Neodiprion lecontei: one gene and its partner. The protein of the gene in region 1 binds, or shares a complex with, the protein of each later gene. Links are inferred from orthologs where the notes say so. Each region holds a gene or a part of one and is shown in the gene's direction. Other genes may lie near its edges.

What was found. Proteins that work in one complex are often made in the same cells at the same time.
Region 2: the proteins of dihydrolipoyl dehydrogenase, mitochondrial (region 1) and lipoamide acyltransferase component of branched-chain alpha-keto acid dehydrogenase complex, mitochondrial are in contact, whole or in part, in a crystal structure (PDB 3RNM), measured with the Homo sapiens proteins. The link is inferred for Neodiprion lecontei from reciprocal best matches to the Homo sapiens genes DLD and DBT. Residues at the interface, in NP_000099.2 of Homo sapiens: Ser446, Thr447, Asp448, Arg449, Glu472, Tyr473, Gly474, Ser476, Glu478, Asp479, Arg482; in NP_001909.4 of Homo sapiens: Thr174, Pro175, Ala176, Lys196, Arg199, Leu201, Lys202, Glu203, Leu206.

What each region holds. Positions count from the first base shown.
Region 1 is NC_060263.1:37,791,858-37,798,365, reverse strand, and holds dihydrolipoyl dehydrogenase, mitochondrial, read left to right. Parts: upstream 1-1,984; 5' UTR 1,985-2,100; coding exon 2,101-2,142; intron 2,143-2,978; coding exon 2,979-3,267; intron 3,268-3,718; coding exon 3,719-4,085; intron 4,086-4,243; coding exon 4,244-4,588; intron 4,589-4,670; coding exon 4,671-4,762; intron 4,763-4,881; coding exon 4,882-5,207; intron 5,208-5,341; coding exon 5,342-5,407; 3' UTR 5,408-5,747; downstream 5,748-6,508. Other genes in the region: dedicator of cytokinesis protein 3, read left to right, coding at 6,325-6,361. UniProt on the Homo sapiens protein: Lipoamide dehydrogenase is a component of the glycine cleavage system as well as an E3 component of three alpha-ketoacid dehydrogenase complexes (pyruvate-, alpha-ketoglutarate-, and branched-chain amino acid-dehydrogenase complex).
Region 2 is NC_060264.1:33,776,419-33,781,828, reverse strand, and holds lipoamide acyltransferase component of branched-chain alpha-keto acid dehydrogenase complex, mitochondrial, read left to right. Parts: upstream 1-1,951; 5' UTR 1,952-2,083; coding exon 2,084-2,194; exon of another isoform or gene 2,195-2,198; coding exon of another isoform or gene 2,199-2,201; intron 2,202-2,306; coding exon 2,307-2,434; intron 2,435-2,569; coding exon 2,570-3,131; intron 3,132-3,239; coding exon 3,240-3,635; intron 3,636-3,714; coding exon 3,715-3,948; 3' UTR 3,949-4,581; downstream 4,582-5,410. Other genes in the region: transmembrane protein 45B, read right to left, coding at 4,804-5,410. UniProt on the Homo sapiens protein: The branched-chain alpha-keto dehydrogenase complex catalyzes the overall conversion of alpha-keto acids to acyl-CoA and CO(2).

The sequences.
Region 1 (6,508 bases):
TCCGGCATTGCTTGGGATTTTTGCATATGGATTACACGCCTTGGCTTGGGTTGCAACGACGCCGAATGACGTGCCGGGCTCAATGCTCATGCGTCGATCGATGCGGTCGTCCTTTATTGACGCGGGAAAAAAACTACCCTTTTTAAATTTTACTCCATTGCGGGACCGTTTCAGCTGCGGCAGGACTCATTGTCAATGCAATTTTCATCGTGACTTGACACCCTGAGTTCACTCGGTGAGGAAATCTGACTCATGATGCGCTCTGACCGGTATGGATTAAATCGCTAATCTGAAGACTGAAGCAACACAATCGTAACTAATGGGAACGCCGCAAGTTTTTTTTTTTTTAAGCAGATAGACCATTTCCTTCATAATTAACCTGAATCGTGTAACTCGAAAAATTTAACAATGCACGCACGTATTTGTTTTACCTCAATTTTTTATTCTTATTAAACAATAGTGCTATGGATTTGAAGTAATTTATTCGGATTCTTGGTAAAAAAAAAAAAAAATTACAATCCGTTGAAATTCAAATTCTCTTTAGTTTTTGTCAAGTTTTCAGAAACGGCTTGCCATCCTCTTGACTTTAACGACGTCACGACAAACGCTCAGCTATATGACGGAGAGTCGGAGTATCTATCGAACGTCTGGACGCTAGCAGAACGTGGAAGATGACTACTGACGTCATCACATTCCAAGATCCTTAATCTTGTAGGATGCTTGTCACGCGATGACGTCAGCTTTACGACCACCTCGACGCATTTTTAATCGCAAATTCTCCCCTCAGACAACCACTCATCTGGTTTATAGGAACCTTAAGTAGCTATCGAGTGGTTGATTCGATTGAGCTTTTAAATTCTAGACTCTGAAGTTGGTTTCAGGCGTTTCATTGAATTCGTTAGATCGAGTGTGGTGTCGATAGAAGTGAAAAAAATATTGCGAAAACAGTTCTGATTCAAGTCAGTAACGCATGGATGAGAGTTACGAGACTGTTGTGGCAACATTGGGGGATGTGTTCCGAAATATGTTGCCAGTACTGTGAGTTTCACTTTCAAGAGAGATAGGAAATGGCAAAAAAGTCACACGAGTGACGGAGAGCGTCGATAAGGCTAATTTGCAGTGCTGACATTATACCTTTTTAGGAACACACAGCGCGCCTCAGCGAAATGAAAGCCACAGTCTGCATGTCACCCAATTGATTCGACGTCCGTTACGTGCAAGGTCATCGGATCATTCGAATATGAAATATTTTTGACATCCTTTAAAATCAAATTATTCTCGGAGTTCGATTGAATCGATAATCTATACGTTGAAAAAAAACTGTCCAATGGAATCATTTCCTGGTAGTTTCTTTTTCCGTTCCGTTATAATGCTCATCGATAGTAGCGTGAAAACCTCTTGCGTTTATTCGTTACTTCCGTCCTGTTCCTTAAACACATAATCTAGCGCGAAGTTTGCTGCATAATTTTCATCGTTAAATGTGCGTATACCATATTGTCTGCAATATAAAGGGGAAAGTACCGTTTTTCTTTGATAGAAAGCAGTCAATGAACCGCGTTACGAAAAACTTTAAAAAGACAGTTACGACCGATTTCCTTCACTGCGTTGAGCGGTAATAACTCGCGTGGTTTTTCGCATTCGCTTAAATACCCGCATGAGTCTTTTATTACACTGGGTACATCATGGTCTCAAAATCTCACTGGCAAATGGCTGACGCCTGGCCGCCGTAAATCAGATTTAATAAATTCAGCCGGATTCATCCGACTGACGTAATCAAAAATTGCGGACACTGGCGCCACCGCTCATCCGTTCGAGATTTAAATGCTACGCGGTGTGTTCACCAACCGATAACAACGCGACCTGTACTGCAGCCAGAAGTCGAGAGCCGTGATTGGTCGAAACGTTGGGACCACCTCGTCGCGGGCCAATCATAGTTCCGCGTGAAGTTGCGCAGTATCGAATAGCCCAAACCCGTATCGATATTCCAGCATTGAGACCATCTGCAACTTCACAGTATTCGGGGTTTTCCTTCTATTTAAGGTGTCTAACCCCTCTTTTTCCCCTGACTGAACCAACTTGTAATATCGACGAAGGGTTGCGATGCAGGCGAGCCTTTGGAACCTGGTAAACACGTCCGTTCGGGTGAGAAATTAAACGAGTATAATTCTTACGCAATTGTTATTTGTTTATTAAGGTTTCTGAATTTCTCATCGCCCACTTCTTCCTCTCTCCTTCGCATGTCCGTGAAGGGCAATCGTCTGCTAATAAGCCAAGCCATTGCTCTGCAATCCTGGTTATGTCATTTGTGTAGTTAAAACTTAACTCTTATTCGGCAGAAAATTATCTACCGGATCTATGCCAATTTTTGTAACACGATCTATCTATCCGACCCTTAATCAAATCATCCTTTGCTTAAAATCTACAGTTTTATCACTTCTTTCCTGAACTCGGGACTAGATATCCGGTCGTTTCCGCCTCCAATAAGGCGAATATCTTGACGATGAATTGTTCATCTTTTATGAAAACATCTACAGTATATTTATGAAAAAAGAAAACTACCGTCTTTCCAACTATTTTGAAACAATGAATAGTAAAGGTGCATCCTCAATTTTTTCAAAATTTGAATAGCTTTTCAATTAGATTTATTTAGCATAAAAATTGTTCCCGTAAATTGACGAATTAATTGTAGGAAAGAAAAAGTCAACCTGGATTGACATAATGTGAAGCATTTCTACAGCACATCTAGGTAGCAGAATATTGAATAAAATTTAATGTTCTCTTTATAAAATAGAAATAACGATCCTCATAACTTTGCTATTTTCTATTATTTACTTAAGAATTATTTTTCGGATACACCTGTGACACACAGAAGAAAATCGTGTCCTGTATTTATATACAAGACATTTATCTGTTCGATCATATTTACTTTCAAATTTCATCACGTTTTTTGAATAAATAATAAATTTTCTCCACACCAGCCGGCATGCGTCAAACGAGTTGTAAACCCAGTACTCTCGGTCGCTCAGCAGCGAAGGTATGCCAGCTCGATCGATGCTGACGTAGTAGTGATTGGATCAGGTCCTGGAGGATATGTAGCAGCTATAAAGGCCGCCCAATTGGGCATGAAAACTGTGTGTGTGGAAAAGGACCCAACGCTCGGTGGAACCTGCCTCAACGTTGGATGTATTCCATCAAAGTCTCTCCTTAACAATTCTCACTATTATCATATGGCACACAGTGGAGATTTGAAGGATCGTGGAATCGTAGGCAAGTAGTTTGTTAGGATTGTAAAGACTTGGATCATCACAAAATATTTGGCGTTTTTTTTAAACTTATTGAAAAAAATTTAGGAAAATCAAGGAAATTCTACACATTTCTAGATCATAAGTATGCATCTGTAAAAGATTAATATCCTCGAGTATTCTCACATTTAGATTTTGGTAACATCTGTTACTAGATTTGTTTGGGCCATGTCTGCATTTCATATTCTCTTATCCATATAGCTGATAACAGTATGTGAAAAGCTAAATTTGATATTCAACTAATTAAATTACAATAAAAAATTACGCATATTTAATTCTTCTATTTTGTAAGTTGAAAAAAAAAGAGGAAATACCTATTGGTATTTTCATATGTTGTTTTCGACTGTATGCAATAGTTTTGAAAATAGCAATGATTATTTGCAACACGACTTTATTTTACCTCGTTATGTTCACAGTCGAGAATGTCAAGTTAGATCTGGACCAACTCTTGCAGCAAAAAACGAACGTGGTGAAAGCCTTGACTAGCGGAATAGCTGGACTTTTCAAAAAGAACAAAATCGAATGGGTTAAGGGACATGGAAAAATAACTGGAAAAAATCAAGTTTCCGCACTAACACCTGACGGCAGTGTTGGTACTACCATAAACACCAAGAATATTGTGATCGCTACGGGCAGCGAAGTGACACCCTTCCCTGGTATCGAAGTCGACGAAAAACAAATCGTTTCATCGACTGGCGCGTTATCATTAAATCCAGTACCAAAACGATTGATAGTTATTGGTGCTGGAGTCATCGGCTTGGAGCTCGGCTCAGTCTGGCAAAGGTATTTTACCATTTTTCCATGGCAGTTATTATTCGGTACTGTAAAATACAACCCTCAAAATCTTGTAATTATTTCTTCATCTAAAAGCTTCTAAAATTCTTAATTTAACAAACAAGGAATACAAAGACAAAACTATATCGACTCATTCACATTGACAGGTTGGGTTCAGAAGTAACAGCCGTTGAGTTCATGACGTCAATTGGTGGTGCTGGTATTGACGGAGAAGTCAGTAAAACTTTACAAAAAATATTGGGAAAACAGGGTCTGAAATTCAAGTTGGGAACCAAAGTTACCGGAGCAACGAAAACCGGTGGTGAAATCAAAGTTTCGATCGAAGACGCCAAGGATCCGAGCAAAAAGGAAGAATTGGGTTGCGACGTGCTGCTCGTCTGCGTCGGCAGAAGGCCATACACGAACAATCTCGGCCTTGAAGATATTGGTATTGAAAGGGACGAAAAAGGCAGGATCCCAGTTAACAATCGGTTCCAAACTGTCATACCAAAGTGAGTGTGCGCTCTTCGTATCATGACTTCAGTTTCAAAAAAGGTGCTCAACTCAATGTTGATTTATTTTTTCGTTGTTTAGCATCTACGCCATCGGAGATTGCATCCATGGACCTATGTTGGCGCACAAAGCCGAAGACGAAGGCATCATCACGGTAGAAGGCATCGCCGGAGGTAAAGTAAAAAAAAAGAAAACTCCCCTTGGTCTACTGAAAAACCTGCAAACCAAACCGCAAATCGTTAGAATTCACCTAATTCACGGTAAATCCCAATCAAGTCGTGTATTTTTAAAGGCGCTGTTCACATCGACTACAACTGCGTACCAAGTGTCGTTTACACGCATCCCGAAGTCGGTTGGGTCGGCAAAACCGAGGAGGATCTGAAGAAAGAAGGCATCGATTACAAAGTAGGAAAGTTCCCATACCTAGCCAATTCTAGGGCTAAGACCAATATGGAAACGGACGGTTTCGCCAAGGTGTTGGCAGACAGTAACACTGATAAGATTTTGGGTGTTCATCTTGTTGGACCGTCCGCTGGAGAGCTGATTAACGAGGCTGTTTTGGCGATGGAATACGGCGCGAGTGCTGAAGACGTCGCGAGAGTCTGTCACGCCCATCCGGTACGTAACATACTTACCACTTTACAGACGGGTTACGTAAAACGATCCATACGTCTAATGGCTGTGATTACAAAGCGTATTTATCGTCAACCAGAAAGGAACGCTTAATTAATTTTTCCTTTGTTTTATTACAGACGTGCTCCGAGGCTCTCAGAGAGGCTCATCTCGCGGCGTACTTCGGCAAGCCTATTAATTTCTAAGAAATATTACACGGCAATAGTCCGAAGCGTTGTGAAGAAAGATCGTGAACGCCCCACTTGGGTAGTTCGAGTTGTAATAATATCGTGTAAGCAAGTCGTAATTAGCTAAAAGGCAATACCGTCAGATGAAAGAAGCAATGAGAAGACGAAAAAACACCAAGCAAAATAAAACAAGGTTGTAAATAAAGTAAATATCGTTACGCAATGCGGGATCCCGGGGATTCCGATTACGATAACCGACAGTTCTATTACTAACGTAATATCACACGAACCCCCATGTATTTATTAAAATATCAAACAATAAAACCCTATCTGCTTTTGCGAGCAAGTGGAAACCGTATCAAGGTTCAACAATGTAATAGCACCTCTATCCCTGATCGGATATCAATCAAATCGCAAACTCGCAAGTTTTAAGAACTCTTATAATAACTCGCTGTTACAGACAAGTTCAATTTTTTCCCGGAATATCATTCTTGCACAAAGTTCGAAATGGCGAAATTCCGTATTTGATTAATATTTGAGTGTCTTTAAGCAAAAGCGAAAGAAGTTTAAAAAAATCTTCAGTCATCACACCGTCGGACTATCCTGCGCTTCGAATTCCACGCACAAAGCGAATGACGCTGGTTGTTCGATGAAGCGAGGGATGGCAGCACGCGAGGATGGAATCGAATTGGATAAGCCAGTGCTGCCGCATCTTGGACCGCGAGTGCAACATCGTTGGACATACGGTTGATCCGAGAGCTGAACGGAGCCGAGGGGCAACTGCTGCGTGGTGTGTGGCAGCAGCACACACCCAATGTTTGTGTTTTCGAATATCTCGGGAGGGTAATATCGGCGTGATAGAATAACACGGTAGAAAAATGTTCGTAACAAGCTAGAAGTTAAAGGATGTAGCCTGTCCGATATCGAGTATCAAGATGTGGACACCGACAAAGACGACGAAGTATGGCGTTGGTAAGTCTAACAACAGTGCAACAAAACCTTGACGCGTTTCGTTCGTCTAATTCGAAACTGTCAAATAACGTACGAAATACGGACATACTGAGAGATAGATGGGCCGGATACGCCGAGCTGTCAATTGTTTTCTGTCTCGACGATCGC
Region 2 (5,410 bases), on another chromosome or scaffold:
ATGCCACGCTAGTCCGCATATTGCATCCGGAAAAATCAATTCCAACCATAGCCACAACGCAGTTACAGAGATGGGCGGCATTTTTAGCTGCATTCAATTACAAAATTACGCACACAAAAGGAAAAGATAATTATGCAGATTGGCTGAGCAGGCTTTCCATACCAAGTGACGATGATAAAAATGATAAGAGATTCGCAGTTATACAAGACATGCCAGATACCTTTTTGAACAATATCATAACATTCGATTTCGCGACATTGGATTGGAAGCAAGTCCAAAAAGCGACGCGCGAGGATAAAGTGCTGTGCAAAATTTTAACATTTTGTTTGAATGGATGGCCTGAAAGGGAACCAAAGGAAACAGAAATAAAAGTGTATTGGCGCAAAAAAGACGCGTTAGCGGTGGAAAATAATTGTTTATTATGGGGCCACAGAGTAATTATACCGAATAAATTACGCACTTTAGTTTTAAAAGAATTACACTGTAGCCACTTTGGAATACGTAAAACGAAAGCGTTAGCCCGTGGGTATGTTTGGTGGCCAAACATCGACGATGATATTGATCAGATAACAAAATCCTGTTTACCCTGCTTAAAAACAAATAAGAAACCGATGAAAATACCGTTAACTTCATGGGGATGGCCAACTACGCCATGGCACCGAATACACGCAGATTTTCTTGCACCAATCAATGACAAAATGGTATTAATGGTAATCGATAGCCATTCAAAATGGCCTGAAGCTTTCATTATGAATAATATGACCGAAACGGCTACAATCAAAAACTTTTCCGACTTGTTTTCTCGACACGGGTACCCGATAAATTTAGTTACAGGCAATTTCCAATCATTTCGTGGTTATAAATTTAAAGAATTCACGAAAAAGCACGGTATACGCTACAGTAGGATTCCGCCACACCACCCAGCGACAAACGGCGCGGCCGAAAATTTTGTAGACACATACAAACGAAAAATTAAATGTATGATGATGAACAACATGAATTTAGAGGATGCCACACAGCAATTCCTACATGATTACAGGTCGACCCCGCAAACGACAACAAATCAGTCTCCGACAAAGTTATTTCTTAACCGTGAATTACGGAATTGTTTCTCGCTTTTATGCCCGCATTATGTACAGGAAACGGTTGATGAAACGCATTCGAGGCAAAAAAAAAAAAAAATTATATCGGAAGAAACCGCTCACATTTCAAAGTAGGAGATATAGTCATGGTTACAGATTATCGGGGGACGCATTCATCATGGGTAAAAGCCAAAGTTTTAAAAGAATCAGTATCAGGGGTAACTTACCTTGTAGAAATTTCACCTAATATAGTATGGAAACGGCATAGCAACCAGATGAAACTGTCAATAGAAGAATGTGTCAAACAAAGTGCAGATGTTGATGCAATACCATTAATGACACGGCGGTCAGAGCGAATCCGAAATCACACAGAAAAATAAGACAACGATTAAAACATTTTTTTTTTTTCTAGTCAGAGAGAGTGTAGTAGTATGGAATACAGGCAATGTATGTGGGGAATATGGGTAAGCGTAGACACGTGTGTATGTGTTCGAGCAAGCGTGTCGATATAGACACGCCAGTATGTACTCGGTATCCGAGGTGTTAAGTAACCGCTGTACGAACCAGTTGGTGAAATAAAAGGAATAAAGCAAAACACAACAGATATCGTTGTCCACCTCATTTATCCAAGATATTACAAGATGATTGAAGAATTCAAACTGACGGGGGAAGGGGGGGGGGGGGGGGATTCCTGAAGCTGCAATTATCTTCACGCGACAAACCACCCAGATTTTTACAAAATGAAGAAATACGTACCTGAGATGTATAAGACGATGCGCGACTCGGTTATGTTTGATTTCGCAGTGCTGTTATCAGTTGTTGTTTCTCAACCGAGTAAGTTACGTAAGAATTAATCGCACCGAGCATGAATCTGACGTTCGTGATTAAATGCTATTCCGTAAGAAGCGCGGCCATTACTTGTACGGTAAGGCGGGCAAACGGAGAACGCTCGTCACTTTGTTTCGGTATCGACGTATAATCAGCTCAACGCTTAACGCGGTATGAATATCGCTCTGATTGCCAGTAACTGCAGAACTGTGCGGTCAACTCGTTGCAACATCGCAATGACGTTCTTCGTTCGTCATCTAGCTACTAGTAGATTGGTTCTACCGGTAAATGGTGCACGTATTATTGCTTATCAGTGATCAATCGTACCGTTACTTTCCTTATCTCGAACCGCTTTAATCGGTATATCGGATTCGTAAATTTTTTGCTCTTTTTCAGCCTAAGAACATCAAACTCGAGGCTGTTCTCAGATCCGTATCGACCTCGGTTTCGCTTCAGGGTCGCGTAGTGCCGTTCAAATTGTCCGACATTGGGGAAGGAATTCGTGAGGTCACGGTCAAAGAATGGTGAGCGACTTCAATCATCTCCCATGTTTGTGTTACACGAAACAAATTGAGACAGCCTGTAACATTCCCGCATTGAAAGTGTCGAACGACAGTATCAGACAGGGTGACAAATGGTTGACTATTTCTTTACCTCAGGTTCGTCAAACCTGGAGACAAAGTGAGCCAATTCGACGAAGTCTGCGAAGTACAAAGCGACAAGGCTTCGGTCACTATAACCAGCCGATACGACGGGATGATAAAAGCCCTCCGATTTAAGGTAGACGAAATCGCTTTAGTCGGACAACCGCTGGTCGACATAGAGCTGGATGACGAGGGGGAACATGGGAGCGAAGAAGTTTCGGGGACAACTGAAATATCCCCCCAGGAGAAAACAAGCCTCAACACTGAACATCAGCGGGGGAGTGAGGCCTCCCGGGAATCCCTGATCGGAAAAGTTCTCACCACTCCTGCTGTCAGGAGAATAGCCATGGAGAAGGGTATTCGATTGAAAGACGTCGTCGGAACGGGTAAAAATGGCAGAATACTAAAGGAGGACCTTCTTTCATACGATGACAACGAGACGTCTGACAGTGACATCGAGGAATCAACCAAGCCGCAAAGGCAGCCTGATAAAACGAATCGAGTCCAAGGAGAGGTTAAAACCGTTGCCCTCAAAGGATACGCGAAACACATGTGGACAACGATGACACGCTCTCTGGTGAGTCCTACCGCGTGCCAAAATCTACCCAGAGTCGAAATCTTAAGGACTCTTAGGACACATTTGTTGAACAATTCATTGCACAGATTGTAAAGAATTTCATTTCAGAGCATCCCGCACTTCGTTTACAGCGACGAATGCGACGTGACGAAACTCGTCAAGTTAAGGGATGAGGTCAAAGCCGCCATGAAGGAACGGGGGATTGCTCTGACCTACATGCCATTCTTCATAAAGGCGATATCAAAGGCTCTTGAAAAGTTTCCCGAACTCAATGCCAGGCTGAACGAAGATACTCAAACCGTCGAAGTACTACCGTGGCACAACATATGCGTGGCCATGGATACTCCGGAGGGTCTGGTCGTGCCCAACGTAAAGAACGTTCAGAATCTCGACGTCGTGACCATCGCTAAGGAACTCAACAGGCTCCAGGAACTCGGAAAAAGGACAGCCATACCACCGAGCGACTTGGCGGGTGGCACATTCACCTTGTCCAACATCGGAGTGGTAAGTAGTGTTTAAAAAATGTAGAACACAGAGATGAAGAGTAGTGAAAATCGTCAATTTTATTAATCGTTGCACACAGGTCGGCGGGACGTACACAAAGCCTGTGATATTACCACCGCAAATAGTAATCGGTGCGGTGGGAAGAACACAAAAACTGCCTCGTTTCGACGCCGATGATAAGGTAGTCGCAGCCCAGATACTGTCGGTTAGTTGGGCCGCAGACCATCGGGTGGTCGACGGTGCGACGATAGCTAAATTCTCAAACCTCTGGAAATACTACTTGGAGAATCCCGCGCTGTTGGTAATGAACTGATAATGATGACGAAATTAGCGCGAGGTAGACTTTTAAATTTCGAACAACTGTACGGCAGGATCACTGCTGGGAGATTTCTCAGGTCTGATTGTTTTTGTACTTTATAATACTACAACTCTTATGGTAGAAAAAACAAAATCGACATTCAAATATCAGTTTTTTAAATTTATTCGAAAGTGTTGACTTACAAATTTCATATAGGCAAAATATTTCGATCGTTGTAAAGAACATTCACATAAACATGTATGTACATGTAGATGTACAATATTTTTGGAAGAGCAGATCTCGAAGTTCAAGATCTGGATAACAGTGTACAAGATTTAACAACGCTTATATGCATATAAGACTATACAATATTACAATTACACGGTATTAAAATACATCATGATTACATATATCATGTGAGGCACTGGCAATTGGCGACTGGTTGAATAATAACACTTTTTCATTGTATGTTACAGTAATATCACAAAAAATATTATATACAAATTTATTGTATAAAAACATTGTTTACCTTAGGCACGTTAATAACGAGAACAACTTGATCATGTGGCAATAAGTATTAGATACTAAAAGCGAGTTGCTGTAAAGACGATCGATATAGCTAAATAAAATTGGTACGTGAATCGACAATATTATCAATTACAATATACGAGTAAAAATTGAGTAAATAAAAAAATTAATGAGAAAACAAAATGAACCACTTGAGACGTCTTTACAGGTTGCGAGCAAAAATAAACAAGGCACATTTATAAAATAGCTAATAAATCGTGTTACTGTGATCAGAGATCAGAAGTTGGGATCTATCAAGGCGACCTGGCTTTTTCATGTATCACAAGCTGAACAAATTTGGCCCTAAACTCTCTGATCTACGTCATGGCAGTAATCATAGATGGGGATTTCGGGAGGATCATCAGGCCTCAGTTTCGGCGCGCAACTTCTTGTGACCGCGACTACGCAGAGTGTGACAATAAATGAAGCTGCAAAGTGCCAGGAGAAGGAAAGAGCTAGAGTCTCGATTTTCAGAGATTCAAGATTACATTCCACAAGTGTGGCAAAATTGCATTCCACCCTGGTTCTGACCATGTGAGCGAGCCAGCTACCGTGAAGCAGAGTGGAAGCTGCCCTGAGGAGCTTCATCTCGGGCCAGACCAACTCGAGAACGACGGCAAAGGAGCTGGTCCAGACGATCCTAGCCAAGACTATCGCAGAGTTATTGGACTGGCTGGTCCACAAAAATAAAAATCCCTCGATAAAGAAGGCCTGGGCAAGCGCCATTTTGGCCAGACCGTCGCTCACGACGTGGGGAAAGTAGAAAGTGAGAACATCGACGAGGCCTGAGAGCGCAAAAAAGAGGTAAATTGTAGCGTGCACCACCTTCGGCGATGGCGCCGTCTCAACGCTGTTAGGCAAGTTTCCCGTGAGGGTGCTTGCCAAGCCCATCGCGGTCGCTAATAACTTG